4 linked regions of the Drosophila melanogaster genome follow. The protein of the gene in region 1 interacts with the protein of each later gene in a pairwise test. Each region holds a gene or a part of one and is shown on either strand. Other genes may lie near its edges.

Region 1 (3,719 bases):
ACGTTCGCAGCATGCTGGAGAATTTTGAAGGTAAGTGCGGCTCAGTTGCTCCGAGCAATAGATTGTAATACCGTGTTCTCCTCCAGAAATACTCAAGCTGGCGCGCCGTGAGAGCCACAGCCAGATTTCGAAGACCACGCAGTGCGAACAGGATGCCCTGGAAATGCAGGTCCGCGCGGCCAACATGGGTGAGTAAATCCACTCCCTGGGAACCAGATTCGAGCCATTTCCTTCATGCATTCCGCTTTATAGTCCGTGCCGGCGAGTCTCTGATGAAGCTGGTGGCCGACCTAAAACAGTACCTAATCCTCAACGACTTTCACTCGGTCAACGAGGCCATCACAAACAATTCGCAGCTGTTCAGGAACACACAGAGCGAGTGCGACAAGAAGCTGATGAAACTTAGGGACGAAATGGCCATGGACTTGTACGACCTGGAGGAGGAGTACTACACCAGCATTTTTAAGTAGCGCTAGGAGGGGAAGGGGTTCACCTTATTTGTGATGAACTGGCTTTGGCCGAACTGTAGAATTTAATAAGAAATCATTACCACATTCACTTGTAAATTTTGTTTAGCAAACAGCTAGTCGCGTCGCACTCACAAGACCTGCTCCTGTTCCGCCTCCGAGGACAAGGAGCGACTGTCCGGAGAGGCCGCGCTCAGGCTGTCAACTAGGTCGCCCGTGTAAAAGAGCACCGCCTTCGGGACGATTTGGGTGCGTAGCAGGAAGCCCACTTCGAAATCGTTGCCAAGGATCAGCTTGGTCTTTTCATCCGCGAGCGACAGGTCCAAGGCCTGCGGCGGAGCAAAGAAGCGAAAGAAGGACTCCCGAGGCATGACCTTGGTGACTCGGTGTGCTCTGTTCCTTCGCCTGCTTTCCACCGTTTGGAGAGTGAGATTGGAGCCATCGCGCCAGTGGATGTGGCAGCCTTCGCAACGAACTATTTCGGGCCCTTCGAACAGAAAGGGATACTCCGGGTCCGCCGAGTGCTGCAGAAAGTAGCGCTTCGTGAGCAGCAGCGAGGAATCGTGCAGGAAGCTATTGGGCCGAAACTGAAAGATGACCATGTAGCTGTCCTGGTCGTAAGCCAGGCGCACATCCATTAGGCTCTCCAGAAGCGGCTCGTCGTGATCCTGGACCAACTCCGAGAGCAGGGGCACGTTCTGGAAAACTGTCAGCCAAAAGCGTGGAACACCCAGCGTAGTCGGCGAAACCGGAGCCAGTTTTTGCCTCAGCTGTCGCAGCTCCTCGTTGTTCCCGAAGTCCAGGTACAGAGCATCCTGCGGGTCCTCGGGCCAGGTCTTCTCCGTTTGGATCGGTGGCTCCACCGAACCCTCCAAAATATCCCGCCTCGCATCGAAGAGCGCGCAGCTCTGGCCGTAGAAACGTCGCTCCAGCTCGTAGACTTCCCGGAAGAACTGCTCCGAAATGCGTACCTGTTGCAGCTGATTGTGCCGCAGTGCCCGTATGCGGTTCTGCACGGGCTCCGCCAGCTGGCCGATCATGTGCCGCAGAAAGGCCTTCCGGCTGCGGGCGGGAAGGTCCGCCGGACTCAAAGCCGGCTCTGTGGACTCCTGGGTATATGTGCCCAGGGAGCGCAAGGACCCGCTGATGCCGTCTGCCCTCGACTCCGTGTGGCTGTCTTCCTGGGTAACCCCCTCCGCGCTGTCAGCCATCCCAATCATTGTGCAATTCGGTGCAATAACTTCGAAATTTGGCAACATATATGTATATAAATCTACAAGTATATTCCAGCTCTGCGACTGGGCACTTGGAAACTACTATGCTAGATCAAAGCTGTTCCTTGATTTCCACAGAAACCGGCCTACTACTGGGAACGAAAATTCGGCTGATGATTCCTTGGATTTGCCCAGAAGCAATCGCATTTTTGATTACAATAACTGCGTAATCTAACAAATAATTTCGCCTACGAGGAATACCACTTCAGAGTTACGTGCATAATTAATGAAGGCGAATTCCAGAAACAGTGCATGATTTGCCGAATTCCGGGCAAATCGGTGGCCAATATCTGTCGGCGGTTGCGTTATCGGAGCTACCTGCTCATGAGCCCAGATATGGGCTGTGGACTGGACACTGAAGGGAGGGTCATGCCCGGCACTTATCGGCCCACCATAAGCTGACATTGCGGCAGGTCGGAACCGGACGGCAGCATAATGCTCCATTCAGATCCCGAGCATGGTTTATTTTGTTGGATTGAAGCTATCTGCCCCGCCGCTCGCCTCTTATCTGCGACACCTGGGCACTTGGGCCCAGTCTTGGTGCCTGGTCTTGGGTTTTATTGGCCCGACGGAGCGATAAGTGGGGCCCGTTGTCTTTTGGGTGCCATAAACCGATGGCCCGAATCGCCATTATTTATTGGGAGAAAAACCGAAGTAGCTGTCCAATCTAATCCGTTCGTCTGTCGCATGCTAATTTATGGGCGACTAATCCTCACGGGGGGTCCAATTCCTCCACCAGCGATTCGGTAATCTTCCTCATCGACCCGAGTCCACCAGATTGCAGCTGCACCGGATGGCCTCCAGTGGATATTGCTGTTGGATTGTTGGTTAACTGAATTAGTTTGGACTTACCGATGACATCAGCGCGGCCAATGACTTCAGAATCTCGAATGTCATTCAAACAAAATCTCTTTATTTTGATAGGATGGGTCTCCCCCATACTTTTACATGCTATCTTAAACTGAAAACAAAAACAATTCGTCGGCGTCCTAGAAGATGAAGTCTTCGTCCTGGCCCTCCTCTTCCAGCAACGAGAGGCTTCTCTCGAAGCGCTTGATGTCCTGGTACCAGCCGGGGTCCCCGGACGATATATCCTCCGGCCTGCCGCCCTTGTGGCGGTACAGGAACTCGGCGTGGCCCTGGCCGGGAACTCCGTTGACCGTGCAGGCCACAAACTGGTTGAACACCTTAGACTCCCAGTCGCCGCCGACGTAGCGCAGCGCGGAGGCCTCCACCTGGATTTGCACGAGGTACTCCCGCTCCTCGGTGCGCACAATGAAATTCTGGTGCTGCGGCGGCGTTCCCTTTTCGCCGTACGAGTACAGCTCGAAGTTGCTCCCGGTCAGCGGCTGATACTGCCGCTCGGGGCTGCACACGTAGCCCACCTTCAGGGAGGACAGGAAGAAGGACGGCTGACTGAGGCTGCCCACCACCATGCTGCTGCCATCGTCCATAAAGAGGGCAAAGTACACGTACCGGTTGATGGAGCTTAGGCAGCGCTCGGTGCCGAAGCTGTGGTCCCGGAAGCCCACCATTTTCAGCGCCAGCTCCTTGCCATCGAGCGTGACCTGGCCGGCCAGTTCTCCGTTCTGTTCGTAGTGGGTGCGCTTCTCTACGATGTGGTTGACGCTGCGCAGCAGGCTGTAGAACTTTTCGTTCCAGGCCTCTCTGGCTATGGAGTCGGCTATCAGGGCGCTGCTCAGATCTCTGTTGTAGTCGAAGTGCTCAGCGGAGGAGCTTTCGAAACGGAGGTCCAAGTCCACGGCTACGTCCTGCACGTCCGGCCCTTGAGTTTTCAGCAGTCCGGAGTACTTGAGCCGCCACACACGCATAGATGCCTCCTGGTAGACGTGGAAGCCTCCACCCTGGAACGCGTTGCTCTCCGCTCCATCCGCGGTGGTGAAGTATACCATATCGGGCAGATTCGGCGAACTGAACAGGCCGCTTTCGGGAAGCCACAGGTACAGTGCCGCCTTGA
Region 2 (6,827 bases), on another chromosome or scaffold:
GCTTTCGGGAACACTTGGGCACTATTTTCTTGCGGCCGCATCCCATATGTTTGAGTTTCTCCGATTGACGCCGATGACGCGAAGTGGAGCTTTTGCTGAGACACCGTTTCTGGTACTGCAGGGTATTAACGAAGGGCAGAAGATAAAGTTCGCCGGTCAGGGGGAAAGTGTGTAATCCCTAGGAACTTACTTTCGATCGATACTGATTCTTTTCTCGCGAACTCAATGCATTCCAGTACCCCGCTCCCTGACGCAGTGACTCCTCCATTTGGAGGTGCGGGGATTTAAGATGTATAGCCACCGCGTAACTTAAAAAGCCGTTTGGATACGGTGCCATCTCTACTTATACTTTTCAACTAACGTACTGAAATTTAGGATGCTAAACTAAGAATTACGTACAAAACATTCGAGCTTGAAAAATTGAAAGGTACAAATTTGAGTTGAGTTGCTGTTGCTAACTGATAGAAGTGAAATCTCAAAACTACTTGTTTAATAATAATTGCCAGTTTCTGGATTTGATACACAACTCTTCGTTGGCCTTAGTTTATTATGATGTATATATTACAATTTGGTTAAAAACTGTTCGCTTAGCCTAGCAACAAGCGGTTTAACTTCAAAACTTACAGATAATTTGTCATTACACTTAGCCGTATTAGATAAGCGAGAGTCGTTCCGTTCCGAGGACCCTTTCTCCAAATTTATATTGCTTCGACTCCTAAATATCAACTTACGAACTAATTGATTTATATTCACGTTGCGCATGGACCTGCATCCATGCCAGTAACTTGGCTAATACTGGCCACTCCCGCCGATCCCCAAATCACCCCGATCCCCCCAAGGTCCTTGGCCAACTCCTCCCTCGATTATCCTCGCCATTCCCCAAACACGCAGGTGAAAGGATTTAGGTTTTGGTTTGGTTCTAGTAGTAGGCCTGCTTTATGGCCGCACTGGTGATAAGGAAAGCGGAGCCAATCAGCATGAAGGTGATGATTTTGAGAGCACTTGGTCTACCGGAAGAATCTGCGAAAAGCGTGACATTCATAGATCATCCTTACTCAATTGGTTTTGCAAGGACACTTACTTTTCTTATTGGGCATCACGCGAATGCATTGATTCTGATTGGCGTTCGCCGAGTAGCCCAGCTTGCACTGGCACACGGAGTTGCGGCACTCGACATTCTCGGGATCCTTTTCTACATAGCACTCGGTGGCCTTGGTGCACGACTCTCCCAGCTCTGCAAGATTGCAACATATTAGAATTATTACAAATAATTAAAGAAAGCTTAGCGACTCAATTACCTCGCTTCGTCTCACAGACTCCGTTCTTAGCATGCTGCTCATCGTTGCATCCACACTTGCCCTCCGAATTGCAGCTCGCCAGGAGCGGCTTGCACTGCTCATCCTCGACGCACTCGTCCTCCAGCTCCTCGGCTATAATGAAATGTAATGTGGGGCAGGGCATAATTTTGCTGCTTTGCATTTCAGCTTCTGAGTACTAACCCTCTTTTAGGCACTCATCCTTAAAGTGCACGTATCCCTTTCGGCACTGGCAGGTGCGCGACTGATCCTCCTCGTCCTTCTCCTGGCATTCGGTGTTCTCAGGTATGCAGTCATCCTCCACCGAGCAGTCGGCACCGATGCCACGCATACACTGATCGTCCTTCTCAAAGTAGTTGTCCGCACAAACGCACACGCGATTGGAGCAGACGGAGTGATCCACAGGACAGCCATCGTTCGACTCACACTCGGCTCCCAGGCCACGTTTGTATTCGCAGAGCTGCTTGATGGCATCGTAGAGAGCGTACTCCTCGCAGGTGCACCTCCTCGGAATCTCCGGGTGGCAATAGGAGGCGCCAAATGGACTGCATTGGCTGTTCGAGGTGCAGGATAAGTGGTATTGAATGGCTGTTTTGATGGAAAAGGATATATCTTAAGTGCGATTCAGCAGCTAGCGTTGGAACCACCTACGTTTTCTGCAATTGCGCAGATCCCGCTCGTAGAAATAATTCTTTTGGCAATTGCAAGTTTTGGTCAACTGATCGAACTCGTACTCGCACTCATCCGTGCTCTCCGCAATTTCCCCCAGTTCTAAAGAATTTTCATTTCAGTTAATTTCATTAATAGAAGAATTAAATTGGGGGAAACCCAGTTTACTCACCGGCAAAACATTTTCCATTGCGGGCATAGTAACCCTGGCGACATAGGCAAATATTCTTGGAACAAATCGAGTGCGGCAGACCCGAGCATGTCTTTCCATTATCCGTGCAGCTGCTGCCATCTAAATGGGAAAAAAAATAGTTGAAATATATTTAAGATTGCCTAAGCATTGAGAGACTTCATTTTTTTGGGGGCATTCTTGGATACTCACACTTCTTCTCATCGGCATCGTCGTCATCGCGGCTGGAACCCAGCGTGGAGTAGGTCTTTATATCCTCGTCATCGAATCGGAAGAGGGCGGGCAAGCGGCGTCTTTGGCCATGGGCGTGTCTCTGGTTGCGGCTGGAGTTGCGCCTGCTACTGGTGCTCGTGGAGGCGGTGGCTGTCGTTGTGGTGGTGGCGGTGGCCGCATTGCGCACACTTCGTCCCACCTCCCTCAGCTCGTACTTCTCGATGCTCGTCTGGACGGCAATCTCGTGGGATCGGGGCGAGATGAGCGGCTCGGTGTCGCCATTGGTGAGCTGGGCGAAGGACACCTGGGCGGCGGCATCGCTGTGAGTGGGCGGGGGGGCGTGTACAAAGGCCTTGGTTAGCTGCCTTCGGCTACTGAAAGCGGTCTCCTGTTCCGGATCGGCAGTCTCGGTGATCGCCTCGGCTGTGGTTGAATCATCATCCTCTGGCGAGCCCGGATTGGTGGTCTCCGTTTCCTCGGTCTCGCCACCCGGAGTCGTTGTGATCTCGTCCACATAGGTGCATACTAGGCCAACGCACTCGACACCGGCGCCCAGTTCATCACAGTCCGCGTTAACGACGCAGGCATCGTTTTCTTCTGAAAATCAGGCATATATAGAGCCATATAGAGCCATATATACCATTTACAATAACTTCTCGACTAACACATACCCATTGATTTGCGACGGCAGATGTTTCCATATCTGTTATAATAGCCATTTGCACAGCCGCACACGTTTTGCTGACAACTTACAGACGCACGATCGTAGCCAAAGTAGCAGTCCAAGTCCTGTTTAAAATCGAAAAATCATGCGAAATTATAAAGGATATGTGCACGGTTGATTGGGCCGTGGTCTCACCGTTTCGCAGGACTCGCCGAGTCCGTTCAGTGGGCGACACTTGCCACGCAGATAGTTCTGGCCATCGGCGCAATCGCAGACCCCGGCTTTACAACTGGCCCCCGTTGGCATAAGATTGCACTGGACGCTGTCGTCGCACTTTTCACCAATGAGCGACGTGGCCAGGCATTGGGTGAAGTTCTCCGCGAGCACCGTATCGAATGTGGAGCACTCGCACTGGCCGCTGGCAAAATCGCAGCTAGTACCGTCAGCTGTGCAGTCCGCCTCGGTTTCACATGGCCAAAATACGGCCAACACGCCGCCGTCGCCTGAAATTGGTTAAGAAATGGGTTAGGACAGCAGCCTGTTTGGTTGGTTAAAAATTAACGTATCCACGGTGCCTGTGACCACACATTCGGATGTGTCGGGGCGACCCACTTTCGGCTGACTCTCAATTATTCAAAACGGGCTCCAGTTCACACACTTGATTAAGGAGATTTTCATTAACTTTCGATGGGTTGGGACAATTTTCCTAATCACCTATGTACCATAGAATCCAATCAGCAAAATCCTTAAAATATTATAGAGACTAGTTCAAAGAACTCACTAAAAACTGGAAGTGAAAACTAGATTTATTATGTTCTATAACATATGTATATTGGTGGATATTCAATATCTTCTTGTCTCGTTTTTAAAAATAAAATTTGTTACATTTTCTGTCCCAGCTTTAAACTGATTATCATTTACATTTGAAAATCGCCCTACTAAACCTCTTCCTTGATCCGATAAATTTGTAATTGGCTAAACATCCTGGTCAATCTAGGCAGTGCCACGCCCACTTATCTACCTGTCCAGCTGATTATTACCCTTACAAAAGGCAACTCTACTACCCTTTACTATAAGCAAAAATTCCGAGCGTCGCGACGTGCAAAGCTTCTTTTGGCACGCAACGTGTCGGGGCCGCAATTTATTACGTATACGCCAACGACTTCCGGATGAGGTTGCGGCATCGAAAAAATTTCCATATAAAACAGTATCAACGCGGCAACAAACAATGCGAACGCGAAAAATTGTAATAACAATAACAATGCCACCGAAAAGAAAAAAAAAAGTGAACTTCGCTGGACGCTTTGCCACTTTAATTTCCATTTTCCGTGGCCGGCAAAACAATTTCTCAAACCGCAAAGGACCTTGGGACCTGGACATTCGTGAGAGTCCTTTCCACCGGGGGATGGCGTTGCTCGTTGAGTGGTGGGGTCAATGGGGCAAAGTACTTGACCTTGATTGCGTTTGCATTAATTACTTGTGGTTCTTTAATGTTATGACTGTCGTAGGCCCACATTTATTTGTCCACTAATTTGGCCAACTGCCCTTTCGATGGCCTCACACCCGATTAAACGTGGCTTTAATTCAATTACCGGAAATCGCTCGCCACATTGGGCCACATGATTTCCCTCGACTTTTTTTTTCATTTCGCTCTCGCTATTTATTATTATTTTTTTCCTTTTCTGTTACCTTGAGGACTGAGAACCGCACAACAAAGGACGCCGAGCGTTAGAAACCATTGGAAGTTTGACATTTTCCCAAGCTGAGAGCTACTTTCCCGAACTGCTGGCTAATATGGCCAAAAGGCAACTGACCATTTCGAGTAGGGATTGGTCTATATCGAGTGCTCGATTTCGGTTAATCTTATCTCTATGTCGGCCATACAAAAAAAAAACACTCATACATCGATGATTAACCGGTGGCAATCGGCGGTTTTCCCTGATAATCCTAATTTGAATTATCGCAATCTGCAGTTTCAGTTAGCCCAAATGTCACCGGAATTGGTTGCCAGGGCTGCAGCCACCGTGATTACCCACTTAGTTGGTTCTCCGGCCATTTAGAGTGGTATCGGTGGTATCAAGAGGGCGCTTATCAGCGTCCAACACCTGCTTTGGACACCTGTTCTTCGGTCTAATGGTAGTAGTAAAACGTTAACCCCATCTGGTCTTTTGGCAAGAGTTGAGCTGATAACGCTGAGACTGCAGTATGGCTATTTTGTTACTAAATAAAATAGTTAATCAATGAATCACTCATTCAGATAGCTCATTATGTTTACTTTTTGTCTCATTTAATTGACAATCAAGGCTGTCATTGTAATTGTTTGTTAAATTTTTAAGTATTCCTTTTTTTCATACACTTATATTTAACTAAGTATCTAGTATACATCACTTTTACATATATACAGTTTTCTCAGCAGAAAGGCTGACTATTTTCTAAAATGCTTAAAAAGCTTCGACTATTTCATACCCATCTACCAAGTCTTACTTCTTGAAGGGCAACTACACGTGTGCCCAAATTTGGTTACTATCTTCTGAGCGTGCGCCTCGTAGTTTTCGGATTTCCCCCCGGTTGACGGCTATGTAAATTACTAATTGTAGTGTATTTATAATTCAATATGAATTATGTTTTAAAAATAGCAAAACGCCGTCGGCGACGAGTGTCGCAAGAGGCGACCTTGAAAGTGTCCACAAATGAAATGGAAAGCAATCGATGTGAAAGGGGTTAATTTCGGGGCTAATTTAACGCGGCCTGTCGGTTAATCAGGCCGCATTAATCATTGCAAGCTGCAATGTATTAGCTTTGAATCATCCGAAATGGTAACTCCTTCAGATTTTCACCGTAATGAATTGGCCTTTAAGGGCTGTGATGGTGCGTAAGTCTCTATTTGTTTGTTGCTTTCTCCTGACCGCGTTTCAATTTTCCCGCTAGCTGGCATTGTTATTGTTTGTCGCTTTTCCCTTCTGCCTGTGTGTGTTTCTGTTTTTGAGAGACATAACGTAAAAGGACATTTTGTGGCTATAAAAATGCTTTGCCACGCACGCGATGAAGTGAAAAGAGCAGCGACAGGTGCAAGAGAAATTATATCCCTTCCACCCCAAACTACACACACCATACCGTTTTTTTTTTTTATATACATTTCGGATATGGATTTGTATATGTATATGGCCCAAAGTTATTCAGTACAAGTGCAAGGACGCACTTTGAAATTATCGACTTTGTAGTGCCCCATTTAAGTTCTGACTGGGATTTACCGCTACTCACATTTGGCTTAAAGGGACGCTCCTTTCGCTGTTGATGGCTTAATCCTCGTCGCCTGGTTTCTATATGGCACACACACACACACAATGCACTCTCCTTTTTGTTTTCGCTTATCACTGTTAAGTGGTGTTTTTTTAGGCCATCAAAGGATCACTGAATAATTGGAAAGTATCATTGATTAGAAATGCTGCCAGCTTTGGGCCAACATCTCGAGTCCATCTTTAATCAACTAATGCAGACGTCGCCGGTGGTGTCGACAAATATACTAATACTAATAATAAACTAAATTAGTGGATTTCAAGAACACATGCCGCTGCGGGGCTCGTTAGTTAGCTGGGAATGGATATGGGGATGGTTATGGTTATGGGAGTCGAATTGGGAATGAGTTCCACATTCGATATGTAATAAATGACGCCCTATTAATGGCTATGTATTGGTTAGCTGGTCAGTGACTTCGGTGTGGTTATGCATATAATGGATTGAAATACGTTAAGCGTTAGCGCGCCGAATGTGATGA
Region 3 (7,929 bases), on another chromosome or scaffold:
CGAAATGGGTGAGTGGCTTACGGTTCACGGTTCACTGTAACAGGTTATCAGGCAAAACGGTAACGGCACAACGGTTGAATTTATGGCGTATCAGGCGGTTGAAATGAAAGAAACAACGTGCCGGCCAGCAGTCAAATCATAAGCTTCATTGCACGGGAAAACGGATGCGGAGTCATCGGGTGAATTACCTAGGCTCCGGTGCAGTCACTCTCTCCCGCAATGACTTTTGCAACTCTCTCTACACTTTTCACGCTCGCTGAACGGAGGACGCGTTGTGGTGACCGCCCGGTTGGGAACGGATACCAGCAACGCAGCCATCACAGACTATTCGGGGTAATCGTATTATTTGTATTTGTTTTGTGTGGTATGTGCTTAGTGGGGAAAAAGAAGAAGCGTCGCCTCTGCCGCCGACGCTTCTACCTCCTACCGGCCGTCCGTGAGACGATCCGGATCGGGTGCGTCAGCGGTCGTGTCTGTTACCGCCACTGCAATTACGACCACATCTTTACTGTCACTGCCACTAGTCACTGCCGCGTCGACTGCAACCGAGCCCTCGACGATATCGCTGCCTTCCACACTGCCGTGACCAGCTATCCGTTTCGCACAAACCAACTCAAAAGTCTAAATGAATGGGGATAATGTGGAAACAAATGCAAATTACAAACAAGTTCGTTTAGTAAATCAACTCAATCGAATTGCATTTTATGCAACAGCTAAGCGAACGACATAGAAAACAAAAAAGAAGACCAAAGAGCCAGTTAAATAATAAAGAATTAGTTAAACCCGCAAAAAGAGAACCAATTTATGTACATTTTCATCGTATTAAGCCCGCAACTTGTTATTTTTGAAGCACAGACCCAAAGAAAGTGTTAACCATGCATAGATTTAGTATCTACGTTAGTGACATGGTCACAAGGGATAGATAAGCGCTTCAAGGTGAATGCCTCTCTAAACTCACCTCCTTTTCGAGCTCCGCGGGCTTGCCATTCCAACTGAGCACGGGGGAGCCGTATCCACGATACGATTGCTTCAGCAGCTCATTGATGGTGCTCCCATTCGAGGTGGCATTGCTCTGGTAGCCATTGCCCACCCTTGGCTGCTGGTGCGACTTGAGCGCACTGCCGTTGAGCAACTTTTGGCGCTTGGCGCCTGGCGTTGCGGGCGAGTCCGTGGAGGGCTTGCTACTCGAGAAGGGATTGCGATGGTTCTTGTTCGGCGTCGGAATTTTCACCGGCGATCCCTCCACCACCACGACGTCAACATCATCTTCGATGGCATCGACCTCATCGTTACGCGTAACTTTCCAGATACCCGTTTTCGATTTGATGACCGCTGGCGAGGGTGGCGTCTTTGGCGATGGTGGTGCTTTGCTTTGAGACTGTGATTGCTTCTGTGGGTGCCAGCCATTCGTTAGCTGAATGCTGGGCTCCTCCTCATCGTCGTCCTCATCACTGTCTGCGGACTTTTTTAGGCTCTTGAATATCTCGTCTATGGCATCAGTCTTTTGTTTGCTGTTGTTAACGTGAACCGATGACGAGGCTGAGCCGTTGGTGTGGCTGCCATTGGTCTTACTGTGACCATTGGTCTGGCCAGACTCTTGGTCCGACTCGCTAGAATCCTCCCCACTTGGACGCTTGCGGGGATTCGGTAGAGGCGCCTCCTCCTCCTCAGATGCTGATTCGTAGGGCACAAGACTTTTCAGTGGCGTTTTGACGGGAGTCTTTACTTGAATCTTTACAGGAGACTTTGCCTTAGGCTCCGTATGATTCTCCGTCATATTGGGCATGCTCGGTAGCTGGGCTGTCGTTGGTCTGGGCTTCATCTCATCCTCGATGTCTTCATCATCCGAGGAAATTGGCAGATATTGTTGCTGGTTTATTGATTTATGGTTGCTGCTGCTGTTGCTGCTTGGGGAGGAACTTTTGTTACCATTTGCAGTGGGAGCTGAAGTAGCTTCGCCTTTAGCGTGAGCGCCAACCAGTGGAGGCTTCGCAGTGTCCTGAAACTTTCCGGTACCCAGCTGGAGTCCGTTCTGTGGACTTTGCTGGTTTTGTTGCTTGAACTGGATGGCGGTTTTCTGGGCATTTCCATTAGTGTAACCGTTTGCTCCACCCGCCGGCAGTTGAGGACCAATGAAACGCGTTGGTGAAGGCGAAGACACAGTCGCCGCCGGCACTGGCGTTGTGCTGTGTCCGTTGGTCAAACGCACTCCATTGGGCCTGTTGGCCGCCGGACTGGCAGCCTGTGAGAGGTCCAGTTCGAAAAACATTATATAGGCATTTGTGTTGCACACACTGTGCATTGCGATTGGCCGCACGTAGCTGTCGTCGAAGTTGTAAAAGCTGCCCGTATCCGTGGAGCCAATGGCCGTGTAGTGACCGCAGTGCTGGGACGCCCCCAAGTGAGTGACCATCGACACCAGGCGATAGGTGAGCGGTTGAGCCTGAGCTGCTTGTGAACGGGCTGCGTATTTGCTCAAATCTATGCGTGACTTGAAGGAAATCTGCTTGGTCAGTTTGTTGCCGATCATGGAGAATCGCTTCAGCTGTATACAAAGCGTGATTGGGGCACGCTCCAAAGAGAATTGCTTTGTGGCAGATACCTGCAAGCGATACGTTTAAATAAAATGAACTACAGAACAAAGGTCACAAAGACCTACCTTCTTCTTGCATCCCTCGCACTTGTAGCCCATATCCTCTAGCCGTTCGCGAGAAAAGTGTCCCTCGAAAGCATCCTCCAAGGAGTCTGCCTTGCGGATGTCGAGCAACAGATCCTGGAAGTGCTGAAACGTAATGGACACATGGTTGCAGCTCAGACAGCGCACCTCGCTGCGCAGATAGCCGCCAAAGATCTGTCCCAGCGGCGTGGTCTCCTTAACCAACTGATCCAGCTCTTTGTAGTTACGAAACCGCATCAAATACGCCCGCTCCATGGCCTCGACCAGGAAGCGCAGGAACTCGTGCGCATCCTCTTGGCGACCAACGACCATGTGTTTGCAGATCTGCTTTAGCTTCGAGTAGATGAGGAAGGGTCTGACGGCCGACTGATTGCTTTGGGTGGCCAAAAGTGTTTTGGTCATGGCGCAAATGATGCAACCGCTGCCAGGTTCGGCCACATTGCAGTCAGCCAGATGCGCCTGCTCCGAAACGAGCCAATTGGCCAGGGCGGGTATGTGCAGGAGCGCCTGAAGCGTTGAGTTGAGGTAGCAGGTGTTGCCCACATTGATCATGCCCGTGCCCACCTGCCATTTGCGCTCCGACTGCTTCCAGCCAATGCGTATGTTCTCCCGCGGATAGAGGACCCTCTTCGGCTTGGGCAGCTCATTGGGATTGCTTGTCGGATGCTGATGATTGTGGTGGTTGATGTGGTGCGACTGATTGTTCGGGTGCTCCGCTTGCTTGCGGGCGCCGTTATTGTCTGCAAAGGTAAAGAGGACGGTAGACAGTTTAAGCACGTGCCACAGGAGAAGGCAGCAGGGAGACAGGAACAGCTTGTAGAGCAGCCACAGGGCGAACCCGTCCACCATTATCACAGTCATAATGCATTTATTGGAAGAATTCCCTTCTGCAGATTAAGTCACTTGATCCGCGCTGCTATGAAATATAAATAAAACGAGCAGTGCTCGCTGTGGAAACTGCTGACACACAATCGCGCTTCCATCACCTGTTCGCAGTGTTGGAAAGGGTACACATTTGTTGTACCTAGGCACCGGACTGTGCAGCATTAAGATAGCTATTCTATTGAACAAAGAAACTTGAACACAAAGTATACGCCGAAAAAAATTTCCAGTACTAGATTTTGAAATACAATTCTTTGAACATCGTTACAGAATGTGATATCACCAGATTTTATCTGAAAATATTTTCACAGCATCGTAATTTCATATGTACCCTGAATATGTATCTTGCAGTTTTGTTTGGGAAAGTGTACCAATCGAGGTACTTATCCTGGTACACATATCTCAGATATTACCCAGCACTATTGTATCTTTGATAACAGCTAGCGTGTGAGCGGGATGGCGACTGGCAGAAGAAGAAATTTAAACTGATAACAGCAAGCGAATGAGAGGGATGGCGAGTGGTGAAGCAGTCCAAGTGTCTGCTGCCGACGAATACAGTGGTCTCGTTCTGGCGTAGGGGGTTGGGGCGGCAGTGTTGCCAACTGAATTTTTGGCGCGACCTAACAGTGGTTGTTGTAGGCCCAATGCTCCCCCCTTTTATTGTCTTTGTAACTGTGTTCGAGGCATTGACCAGGCCAAAAAAAAGAAAAGAAAAGAAAAGTCGAAACATCGTGTAACAGCTCCTGGTGCTGAGCTTTGTGTCCACTTCCTGCTCTGTGTGAATCACTTCTGCGAGTCTGGCCTTTGTTTGTGCTCTTTTTATCACGCAAAAGCAGATTGCGGCGCATTTACCGCATCTAAAAAAATAAAGCAAAGCCAATAAAAGCACCGCTGGGGCTGGCCATGTGCGGGGGAAAGAGACGGAACTACGGAGGGGAGCCCTCGTGCTTTTTGTCTTTTTTTCCTTCTTTCATTTGCCGCTGGAAATACAGCACGTTTTTTTCCGCCACAACTTCTGTGAATCAGAAGTTTGGAAGAGGCGGCTCTGTTGTTGCTGCTGCTGCTGTCACTTTTCCAGCTTACTCTTTACGGCGTTGTACTTGTTTTGCTTTTTCCGCGTATTCCTTTGCATTCTGTTTACACGTACACCACCCAAAAACGCCGTCACACACGGACACACACGCACGCACTCACATACAGAAGCGCCTAAAAAGTACAGGTATGCTGCGCTGCCGACGTCGACTGCACTGCCGACAAAATGCAGGCGGAGCAATAAAAAAAATATGTTTGCGGAAAAACATCACACGTGATTTGTGGAGGGATATTCCCAAAAGATTTGGCAAAAACAAACGGGACGATACATAAATACATTTAAGTATATATACATCTTATATATATAATATGAAGATATAGCACATGGAAAATTGCGCAAAAATTGCCACACAAAGAAGAAACACAGACGAAGGCGCAGACGGAAAAAGCCACTTTTGCAAGCAACTTTTGGATTTTACATTTTGTTGTATCTTTACACAGTGTACTCACCATGTCCATTTGCGCCCACAAGTTTGCCTGTATTGTTTTTGCCACTAAAGCCATTGATGGCGCCTGGATTTCCCGGCTTGATGACAATATATTTGGACTTGAGGTTCTCCAGCACCGATTCGTGGTAGTTGGGCACCTCCTCGTATTCGATTTTGGCCATCAGGATGCGTTTGGCATTGGCCACGATGTGATTTTGCAGGCTGCCGTTGGTGTCCTCGCCGCTCTTGGCCTGGTCAGTCGACGAGCCGGCGGAGGAGTTGCCGCCAAGGGATTCGCGCAGCGCTGCGTTGACGACATTCGCCGTTTCGCATACGGCCATCGAAACGGGCATGGCGATGCTCCGGCTGGGGATTTGCGGTGGAATTTTGAACGGGTGTGAGGGGCGTGGTGTGGCGTGTGTTGGTGGTTTTCGCCACCCAGTTAGCTAATGCACATGGGCGTGCGATCCAAAGCAGATACTAGAGATCCTTCTGCACAGCCCACACGTCCTTCAAAACTCTCCTACTGCTCTACGCTCACTTTTCTCCTCGCCCCTCTCTCGAACACTTCTTGTTTCACACACCGACTGCGACACCGACACACGCACACTAACGCACTCGGGAGCACTCTTCTTTTTCTGGCTTTTTCGCGCTGCGATCTCGATCTGTTGGCCTACTGAGCATTACGATTAAGAAACGTTCGCTCACAAATTGATCTGTTTCAATTTCGTGCGCGGCCAGGCATTTTAGAACGAAAAGTCTGCTTTCGAAAATAATGGCAATTCCTTCCCTCGTGTTTCTTCCGACTGCGGATTCTCTTTTCGCTTCATTTTCGTCATTTGGGGATGCCAACTCGCGAGTGGCCAAGTGACGCGATAGGCCTCTCGAAATGTCCTAAAGCATTTCACGATATTTACAAAAATGTATTTCGATGTTTTCTTAACAATAAAAAATTGGTTTAAATTTAATAAGACATTTGTTACCTTGAATATGTAAGCAATATCTTATTGAAAGGCTTGCAGCGACATTTTTTATTTATGCCTACTATTCAAGTTATAAATTTAATTTTTATAACGGTATTTTTACACCTTATCAGCACATATCGATAAGTGTGATTGGGAACGACAACCCATCGGCACAATGTTGATGCAATTGTTGAGCTAGCCTTCATAATTAGTCGCAATCAATCGAGCAGAATGGCTTCATCCACAGGTCTCCTGGTGGTGTCCAACATCAAGCACCTTGGCAAATCCCTGCGAGCCATCGAGAAGTACGTGAATTCACTGTACATCCACCTAAATGTGGCGGGGTCAACGTCCACGACGTCACCAGTTCCACCGCCTCCGGTTTGGGGTCGTCTAATCTCGCAGCTGTACGCCAACAGCAGCAGCTATGTGGGCAAGCAGTTGGACCTTCGCGTCCTTGTCTCTCCCCTACGACCAGGTGCCAATGGATCCCTGAAGTTGCGCCAGCCCGTCGACCTAATCTTCTCGGATGCACATCATCCGGAGCTGTGCGACAGGCTTCGCGCGGATCTTAACATCAGCAAGCCAACAATCTTCCTGGATGACTCGGTCATCTCGGATTTAAGTGCCCAGCAGGATGACACCCAGCCGCCTAAGGTGTATCCCTCGGTTGTCCTGGGCGGAACATTCGATCGCATCCATCTGGGACACAAGATATTCCTCACCCAGGCTGTACTGCGCACCTGCAAGCGTTTGGTTGTGGGCGTAACCACCTCCGCCATGACGAAGGGTAAGACGGGCATGAATTGGCAAAATAAAACGCTTATCTTAACGACCATTCTTATCGCTGTCTGCAGGAAAGACGCTGCCGGACTTGATTTTGCCCGTGGAAGAGCGCATCGCCCGGCTAAGGGAGTTCCTGGTGGACATAGATGATACGCTGCAGTACGAAATTGTGCCCATCGATGATCCCTTTGGTCCCACGCAAGTGGATCCTGACCTGGACATGATTGTGGTCAGTGCGGAGACGTTGCGAGGAGGGCAGAAGGTCAACGAGGTACGCTCCGCTAAGCAACTGCGCGAGCTGGAGATCTTTGTGATTGACATTGTTGAAAGCAACGTGCATGATGGCATCCACGAGACCAAGGTCAGCTCGAGTAACACACGCATCGATCTGCTGGGAACCCGCTGGAGAAGGCCGGAGCCACGACCACAGCTCCCGCCGCGCCCTTACATTATTGGACTCACTGGCGGCATCGCATCTGGCAAGAGCAAGATGGGCGAGAGATTGGCCAACATGGGCGCCCACGTGATCGACTGCGATAAGGTGGCGCACGATGTTTACGAACCTGGTCAGTTGTGCTACACCCGAATTGTGCAGCACTTCGGACAGGGTATTGTTTCAGACGATGGTCGCATCGATCGGTCCAAGCTGGGACCCTTGGTGTTTGCCGATCCCAAGCAGTTGCAAGCACTCAACGGCATTGTCTGGCCGGAACTTATTGCGGAGGTTAACAGGCGGCTGGATGCACTGCGTTCCCAGGCGGACGTGCCGCGTGTGGTGGTCCTGGAGGCAGCGGTGCTGCTGCGAGCGGGCTGGGAGACCAATTGCCATGAGGTGTGGTCCATGATTGTGCCACCGGATGAGGCTGTGCGGCGGATTATTGAGCGCAACAAGTTGAGCGAAGTGGAGGCCCAAAAGCGACTGGCCAGTCAGGTGCCCAATTCTGAGATCGTGGCCAAGTCGCATGTGATATTCAGTTCGCAATGGGATCACGAATTCACCCAGAAACAGGCGGAGCGTGCGTGGAAAATGCTTACCAAGGAACTGGACTCTTACCAGAGCAGCCTTTAACCCGATGGATATTTAGATTATCTTGTTGAT
Region 4 (7,306 bases), on another chromosome or scaffold:
ATCTTTGTGGTCGAATTATTGCCATCACCCGGACCAAATGGACAGCCCGGGAGAAAAGGATTTATCCAGCAGTAATCAGGATATTTTTCAGCCGATTCTGTAGTTGATTCGTCCCCAAACTTAATTTCACTGCCCTCCAGCGCTGCATTTGCAGAGTGATAAAGGGCAAGCCAAATAAAACAACTTAGAACGACCTATAGTTAAGGACAATATTGGTATGAGGTAACTACTAATCTTATGTTCGACTTACCATTGCAACTTGTCGAGCAAGACTCTGGATTTTTGAGCCTTAGTTGGTGCTTAAATAGGGAGCAGAATAAATGGCATAGCAGGCCGCTGATAAGGTCGTCCAGGGTCGTAGTTCAACAAAGTTCAACAGGTAAGCGCGAGTCATTATTACAAAACCAAAAAGATAAGTTTTTAAAATTTGTATGCATTTGAAGCATACTGTTTTATTGTCTTTTTGTTTGTGATGACCAATAATGCAGTGCCCCGCATAAAATAAACTTGCACCCTCGTTTGACTAGCTGTGATTTATTACACATAAATATATGGATTCACATAAATGTTGAGCCTTAGATTATAGCACAGTCCAAAGATATCGAATCCAAGAGTTCGATCTTATTTGGTACTGTGCTTGGTGTGTAGTGTGCAAGTCTCGGGTTAGTTTCTCTCTATAGCTGCTGCCGAAATAAATATTGCTTATGTCTAGGTAAGAATACAATAAGATAAATAGAACAGAAGTTTTCCAGGCCCTAAATGCAATGCGACAACAGAATCAATTGCTCATGGTGTCCTGATGCTTGCACAGTGCCCTTATCCCCGCCATGTCCCCAGCTCCAGATCTCGTTCCTAATTGTTAGTGTGCGTGTAGTAAAGAACCGTATTGCCTGGTAGCTGCCAGTGGGAGGCCTTCAGCTCGATGAGTTGGAGAAGAGTGCGCCGAATGGAGGCCGCAGATTCGCCGGCATTCAAAAAGGCATCGCGAACCAGACTCATGAGTAACTCCAGTTGCTGGGGCAACTGCTGCTCCATGTCCTGGCCAATACAGGTCAAAACATAAAACAAGCACTCAATCTGAAAGTTATGAATAGTAATCACATGTATTATTCCAACCACTTGATCAATCAAAAACGTACCTCTGAAAGTGATCTAATGGGTGGACGCACGCAATCCCCGCAACATTTGGAGAGCAGACTAAGCAGTACCAGTGGCGGAGGAGTGCCCTCGTGGTGGGTGCGTAGCTGGAGCTGCCGACGTTTCAGCTGACAAAACATTTCCGTAAGGAAGGCCATAAAGGCAGTGAATCGGACACGTGATGGCGACTTCATGCCCTGGATGGCAAACAACAGCTGCATGCGGGGTAAAAGATTTTTAAATATGAAATGATCATGGAAATTTATGCTGAATTGCCTACCTTCTCACGCTCCTGGTACCACTGACGGCATGTGTTGAGGAGCGCCTCGAGAAACGTTTCCTTCTGCTCCCGGGCAATGATGTTCAGACACAGTCGTGATATTGGCAGAGCAAAACGGCGACTCTCCACCGCGCGTTTGATGAACTGCGATGTCAGTTCCATGAGACAGCGAGAGTTCAGTTTATTGGGATCCTCCAGGGCCGTGTCAATAAGCGCCTGGATCTCTGGCGTGAACTGTCCTATGTCGGCCACCTCGTTGCCCAAACCTAGTCCCAATCCGGCCATTCCACGAGTAAGGGCATCCGCCGACGACAACGACTTGGAGCGTTGCAGTGCATTTCCATTCATGTAAGGATCTACTCCATTAATATTCGCCTGATAAGGCTGAGCATAGTTGTTGTTTAGTTGACCAAACTGATTATGCGAAGCCACTTTGTGACCTCGGGGCTCAGGTGCAAACTTTACACGATTTGTTGTCTGGAATTTAGGTGTTTATTTATTGAAATATTGTTTTTTTTTACCAATATTTTTAAATTAGAGCTCACGTGAAGTATATTTCCACTGGATGGCGAGTTCATTAGCGGCAGCTGACCGCTGAGGGCACCGGTATTGATTGGATACGTCACCAGGATCGACCGGTGGTTGGCCTTCAAGCCCGGCATGTTGCCGAGGGAGTGTCCGGCCTGGCGGCGATTCACGTTTCCGTACGGACCCAAACCCGGTGCAACTCCCACTCCGGGTCCATTGGTGAGCGGAAGTATTAGCGACGAACTGGAAGAATGTTGTAGACTGTAGTTTAGCTCTGCAAGGAGACGGGAAGAGGGGTAAACAATGGAATTAAAAGACTTTGCATTACCGGTTGCCGAGTGCCTCGGCCGGTGCCCCGGAGCTGGTTGTCATTGTGAACTCCTGGGCATTGACGTTCAGCTTGTTGGCGACACCACCGATAGCACCATTCGGACCATCACCACCGACACCACCGGCTGGAGCGGCTAGCTCTCCGCGCACATCTGAGACAGAGTCAAGTGGGGATTATTGTTGGGGAAGGGTCGGTATACCCAAGAGTGTATGTGATGATGTTGGGGGGTAGGACAACATTGTGTGGAGGGACGGAATGTACAGGGTATGAGACAGAGATATGAAAAGAATCAAAAGAAAAATGTGGTCTCAGTAAGTATTAATTGGAACTGATAAGCTGGCAGCAAAGAATAGAGCATCTTAAGCTGGGCTGGCTGAAGTACATATGTGACTATTGACATTTAATATTTACATTTTTAAATATGCTCAATCTCACTTTTTAAGGACTAAGCTGGAAAAAAAACGGAAATAGTCCCTATAAAATATGCCTATAATAAATATCGTTATATGTACATGTATGTTTTTGATTATTCAGTACCTTTCTCGTCCAAATGCATATATCTACACTTGATGTGTTTGTATTTCTAAGCCACCACTAAAATAATACCGATTAAATATCCTCGAAATATAAAAATTCTCTATTATATTGAGTTCTTTAACTTCTTTAGCACCGAGCACCCTGCCAAGCACCCAAGCGAATTAGAGAATTTATAACGAATGACTAAAACAACTCACTGGGAGGCCTGTAGATATCCATGGCTGGTTTGCCCCTCATCTGTCCCGTCTGATTGCCAGGTACGTTGAAAGCCAGACTTCGCCGTTTGTTGATATTCTGAATGAACAAACAATTATATAAATATGGCTGCTAATCGACATCGATATGGTGTACCCACCTGTTGATTTGAGGTGCGCACAAAGCTGCGTTCGCGGGAGATAACGCCGGGCTGAAATTCCGGTGATTTGCGCACCTTCCGCGTATCATTCTGTTGGCCATTCATGCTGGCCTGGGCCAGTAGTTCCACCTTTTCGGCCATCCTGCGATTTTTGCGCGAGTACTGCTTCTGCTCTATTTGGGTAAAACCTAATTGAAGATGAAAGCCTAATCTTTGGTAGATTATCCTCCGGTTAATCGATTCACAACTGGGATTCCGTCGAATAAACGTCTAAATGTGTGGCTTCAGTATTTGAGTAAATTTGTACATATCACAATAGTTGGTTTCCTTTCCTCCTTTATCGAGTTGAGTTCTCTTCTTAATACGATGTTGAGGGATATCTTCCCCTTTTGCAGATTCAGATTGCCGGGTCTGGAATACAATGAAAATTAATTATATACTTCAGCATATCGCATTATATTATTGTCAACATATATCAAGTAAGATACACAAAAACTCTTTAACCCACATGCGAGAGGGAGGCGCAAACTACTTGATCTTGTCGAGCAACCAACCGGCTTTATGGCCGAGCGTAGGAGTTGCATCTGGTTTGGAACCTCTGGCTAGAGCACTTCATCTCCGAACATGACATCAGCCCCCGAGTAATTCTTATTCTGCGGCCCACAAGAAGTCCGAAGTGAGTCTCCGCGAAAGATACATACGAAAGATACATTGTACAGTCAGGCCTCTCTACCATCTATTATCACAAAATGTGGCTTGAATAAATCTTTGACTCTTCTTACTTATATGTACCATCCACTTATATCAATAAAACAATGAACTTGTCAAAATGTGGTAATTAACGAACTTAGAGAATCTTACATAGGTTAACTGCCCTGTGAGAGTGACTACTATCATAGCAATGTGAACTTGCCTCGCTAATTGCTCTACACTTCCCATTCTCAGATTGCCAAACAGAGTGCTCGGAATAAGCTAGGCTGGTATTATGAATCAGCGTCGGATGGACGGATATACTCACCTTTTAGTGCAAAAATATTTCCTTCAAATTGTTTCGTTGTTGCTGCTGCTGTTGCTGCTTGAGCTTTTGTTTATCTCTGTCTATAGTGTATATATAGATGGGTTTGTTTGTGCGTTGTTGCTATTCGTCGATTCGATTGTTGCTTGGTGCCGCAGCTTAGTTGTTCGTATAAAGATATTTATCTACTTCGTAGATACGCTCTTTCGTGTCTCGTTTAATCATGCTTGGCATGCGCCAAGTCAAGCCGTAAACAGTGTCAGAAATAATTAATATTTCGAAGCGTCCCTCCACGCCCAAATAGTCCGCATATGGGGTAATACACTAGATGGTTATGGATTGCGGGCCTCTAGACACAGATACAGATGCAGGCAGATACAGCGGCAAATGCAAAAAAAGGCACAGATACGCATACGCATACGCACTCACACAAACGCACTGTGATCACAATTGATTTTAGTGCCTATTGTTGTTGCTTTTGCTCGGATGACTGGTGGCTGCTGTGCGAGCGAGAGGGCGAGATGAGTGATATGAGCGGGTGGCTCGTTAAGTATACGCACCGTTGGTATCGTCTATTTTTGGTTTGTCGCTTTGTGCTGCTTGTTCTCGGCTCGTTGTCTGCTCGTCGTCAATTATTACCGATTCCGTTTTGGTTTCTTAATTTTTGTTCGCGTTGTTGTGTTCGTTCGTTTTTCTTTTTATTGTGATTTTTCTCTCATTTAATGCAGATCGCTCGCTATTTATGTATATAATATAGTTATTGTTCGGATTACTCTCACACGTACACATACAAGCGGTCACTACACGCATACAGGCGCGGCCAAAATGAGGGGATTATTAATTGTTATTTATATTTTCCTATACTACTCTTCATGTTTAGCCTGCACGCGCTGTTTGTTTTCACCCGACTTGTGCGCCGTATTCTTTGGCAATTGCCAAAAACTGCTCACATGTGCCGCCGCATCTATATTTATAGTATATGACAGCGCTGCGAATGATGACTGTATCGCAGCACTATGTAGATACATCTATAAACCTATATGCAGTTGGCGTTGCTTCCGTTTCCGTTGGTCAAAAACAATAATATCAGCGGGCTGGCAGAAAGACAAAATAAAAAAAAGAACAGACTATTTCAAATTATTGGCCCGATTTATTTAGCGTTTTAGTCGCCGCCGCGGCACAATATGATTTCCGCTCGCAAACAGTTTGTCTATTTTTAAATAGAATTCAAGAAAGTATTCGGGGAGGAAACGTATGTACTTATGCATGAATCACATAATCCCGATTCGTAAGAGCAAAATATAAAGGATCGGGGATGTAATTGGATTTAAACACATTTAACTACGGGACAATGGAACCTTGGAATTTTGGTTTTACTTTAGGTTTCCATGGGTTCGTTGCTGTCGATCGAGACACTATATCTGCGGGGTATATCTATTTATCGATGTACGCCGTATTATGTGAGCATGTATGTATATTCGCACGTATGTATGTATATGGATGTGAGTAACGCTGCCGGCTGCTACACTGGGCGCAGGCTTTAACTTAAAAATTAAATCATCGGCGCGAGCGATCAGTTGAAGACTAAAGACTTGATGAATCGCCGCGCCAGCCGAAAGCTCTTCATTACAGTTGTGCTCTCTGGAAAGCGATTCTCCGCTTCTCTTTGCACCACACAACCAAAAGAATCTCGTGGGAAAATGCGAGAGCGATCCGTTTAGGGTTGTCGAGCGGCTCGAACTATAGAGCAAATATGTAGAAATAAATGAACATGATCGCATTCGTACACAAAATGATCTTTATCCTTATAACAATAGTTTCAATTCGATACATAAACAGAAATTACAGAAATGAAAACTAATCATGATGACAAATCAATAAAACAAGAATATTAACTTGTCTGCCTTGGTTTATCGTGGAAATGTTGCTGTTACTAATGAAGAAAAACTAATGTCGCCTCAACGGTGAAAAATTACTAACTCGATTTATGATCCACTTTTGGCATACCATACACCAAATCTCTCCTTGCATACAAGTTTAAAAAATATACAAATACAATATTGTTAGAATAATTCAAACGATGTTAACAGGATTTGACAGCGGTAGGACGATTAGACCAAGTTGATCAAATGCTCGCGCAGAATAAATACGGAGGTGGGGACAAGGACGAGAACGAGGACAACGAGAATGCCTATTTGGCGGGCGAGGCTATGGAGTTGTTTAGTGAATTGTTTAGCTGCTCCTCCTGATCCTTGTCCAAGCCAAGGGCTGTGGTCAACAGCTTGACCACACATCGCTGCTCGTGCACCTCGCCCTTCTCGTTGGAAGTAATGTCCTTTTCTAGTTTTAGCTTCTCTTCGGCGGCCATCAGGATGCCCTCCTCGATGGTACTCTCGGAAATGAGACGGTAAATGGTCACCGGACGCTGCTGTCCCATGCGATGACACCGATCCTCGGCCTGTTTATCGTTGTACGGGTTGAAGTCGATATCGTGAATGACACAGGTGTCGGCAGCCGTCAGGTTGATGCCAACGCCACCGGCTTTGGTGGAGAGTAGGAACACAAAGATGCTATCGTCCCCATTGAAGTCGGTGATCAAATCCTGGCGGACATTTACGGCGGTCGCCCCGTCCAGGCGACAGAAACCAAACTTTCGTATTCGCAGATACTCCTCCACAATGTCCAGCATCATGGTGAACTGGCTGAAAAGCAACACACGGTGTCCTTCTGCCTTCAGTTTTGGAAGCAACGTATCCAGGTAGAGGAATTTTCCAGAATCGCATATCAAATTATCGGGTATTTTCACGTCGTAAAACTCCTGAAAGATGCACAAATTTAGTCATTGTCATTGGACAACCTCTTTGATAGTCACTTACATGCTTGTTCATCATCTGATAGACCTGAAAGTCTGACATAACGGCTAGCTCTTCAAAGATGTATTGCTCGTTGGTCTTTTTAAAGGAACTGGCATTAGCCAGGCGCTTAGAGAATCCACGTAGATTGGCGTCGGTGAAGTAGTGACGCATCAGCAACGGATGGTTTGCAATGCGGCGCATCTCCATCATGATCGCTATGCCGGCCCTTTCGCTGCTGCTGCACACCTCGCCCTTGTTATTGGAATAA

The links.
Region 2: the proteins of CG3708 (region 1) and CG7381 interact in a two-hybrid assay, tested with the Drosophila melanogaster proteins (one large-scale study listed by BioGRID).
Region 3: the proteins of CG3708 (region 1) and scny interact in a two-hybrid assay, tested with the Drosophila melanogaster proteins (one large-scale study listed by BioGRID).
Region 4: the proteins of CG3708 (region 1) and CG13124 interact in a two-hybrid assay, tested with the Drosophila melanogaster proteins (one large-scale study listed by BioGRID).

The regions. Positions count from the first base shown.
Region 1 is NC_004354.4:928,298-932,016, forward strand, and holds CG3708 (uncharacterized protein), read right to left. Parts: upstream 1,802-3,719; 5' UTR 1,688-1,801; coding exon 599-1,687; 3' UTR 501-598; downstream 1-500. Other genes in the region: MED22 (mediator complex subunit 22), read left to right, coding at 1-30, 87-188, 253-470; CG3706 (uncharacterized protein), read right to left, coding at 2,731-3,719.
Region 2 is NT_033777.3:12,967,264-12,974,090, forward strand, and holds CG7381 (uncharacterized protein), read right to left. Parts: upstream 4,865-6,827; 5' UTR 4,806-4,864; coding exon 4,742-4,805; intron 3,556-4,741; coding exon 3,248-3,555; intron 3,178-3,247; coding exon 3,060-3,177; intron 2,986-3,059; coding exon 2,368-2,985; intron 2,278-2,367; coding exon 2,158-2,277; intron 2,088-2,157; coding exon 1,968-2,087; intron 1,905-1,967; coding exon 1,500-1,904; intron 1,431-1,499; coding exon 1,299-1,430; intron 1,235-1,298; coding exon 1,082-1,234; intron 1,021-1,081; coding exon 920-1,020; 3' UTR 512-919; downstream 1-511. Other genes in the region: grsm (granny smith), read right to left, coding at 1-115, 191-337.
Region 3 is NT_037436.4:5,767,106-5,775,034, reverse strand, and holds the start of scny (scrawny), read right to left. Parts: upstream 6,034-7,929; 5' UTR 5,433-6,033; coding exon 5,102-5,432; intron 3,871-5,101; exon of another isoform or gene 3,725-3,870; coding exon of another isoform or gene 3,664-3,724; exon of another isoform or gene 3,539-3,663; coding exon of another isoform or gene 3,418-3,538; coding exon 2,660-3,417; intron 2,603-2,659; coding exon 959-2,602; intron 622-958; coding exon of another isoform or gene 424-621; exon of another isoform or gene 22-423; intron 1-21. Other genes in the region: Ppat-Dpck (bifunctional phosphopantetheine adenylyltransferase - Dephospho-CoA kinase), read left to right, coding at 6,276-6,834, 6,902-7,899. UniProt on the Drosophila melanogaster protein: Hydrolase that deubiquitinates polyubiquitinated target proteins including imd. Required for preventing the constitutive activation of the imd/NF-kappa-B (Imd) signaling cascade under unchalleneged conditions.
Region 4 is NT_033779.5:9,902,865-9,910,170, forward strand, and holds CG13124 (uncharacterized protein), read right to left. Parts: upstream 5,770-7,306; 5' UTR 5,561-5,769; exon of another isoform or gene 5,444-5,560; intron 4,992-5,443; 5' UTR 4,744-4,991; intron 4,684-4,743; 5' UTR 4,187-4,683; intron 3,580-4,186; 5' UTR 3,310-3,579; coding exon 3,169-3,309; intron 3,108-3,168; coding exon 3,011-3,107; intron 2,428-3,010; coding exon 2,274-2,427; intron 2,220-2,273; coding exon of another isoform or gene 2,189-2,219; coding exon 1,963-2,188; intron 1,895-1,962; coding exon 1,418-1,894; intron 1,353-1,417; coding exon 1,140-1,352; intron 1,078-1,139; coding exon 853-1,077; 3' UTR 515-852; downstream 1-514. Other genes in the region: Muc30E (mucin 30E), read right to left, coding at 1-194, 251-253; Etl1, read right to left, coding at 6,375-7,001, 7,060-7,306.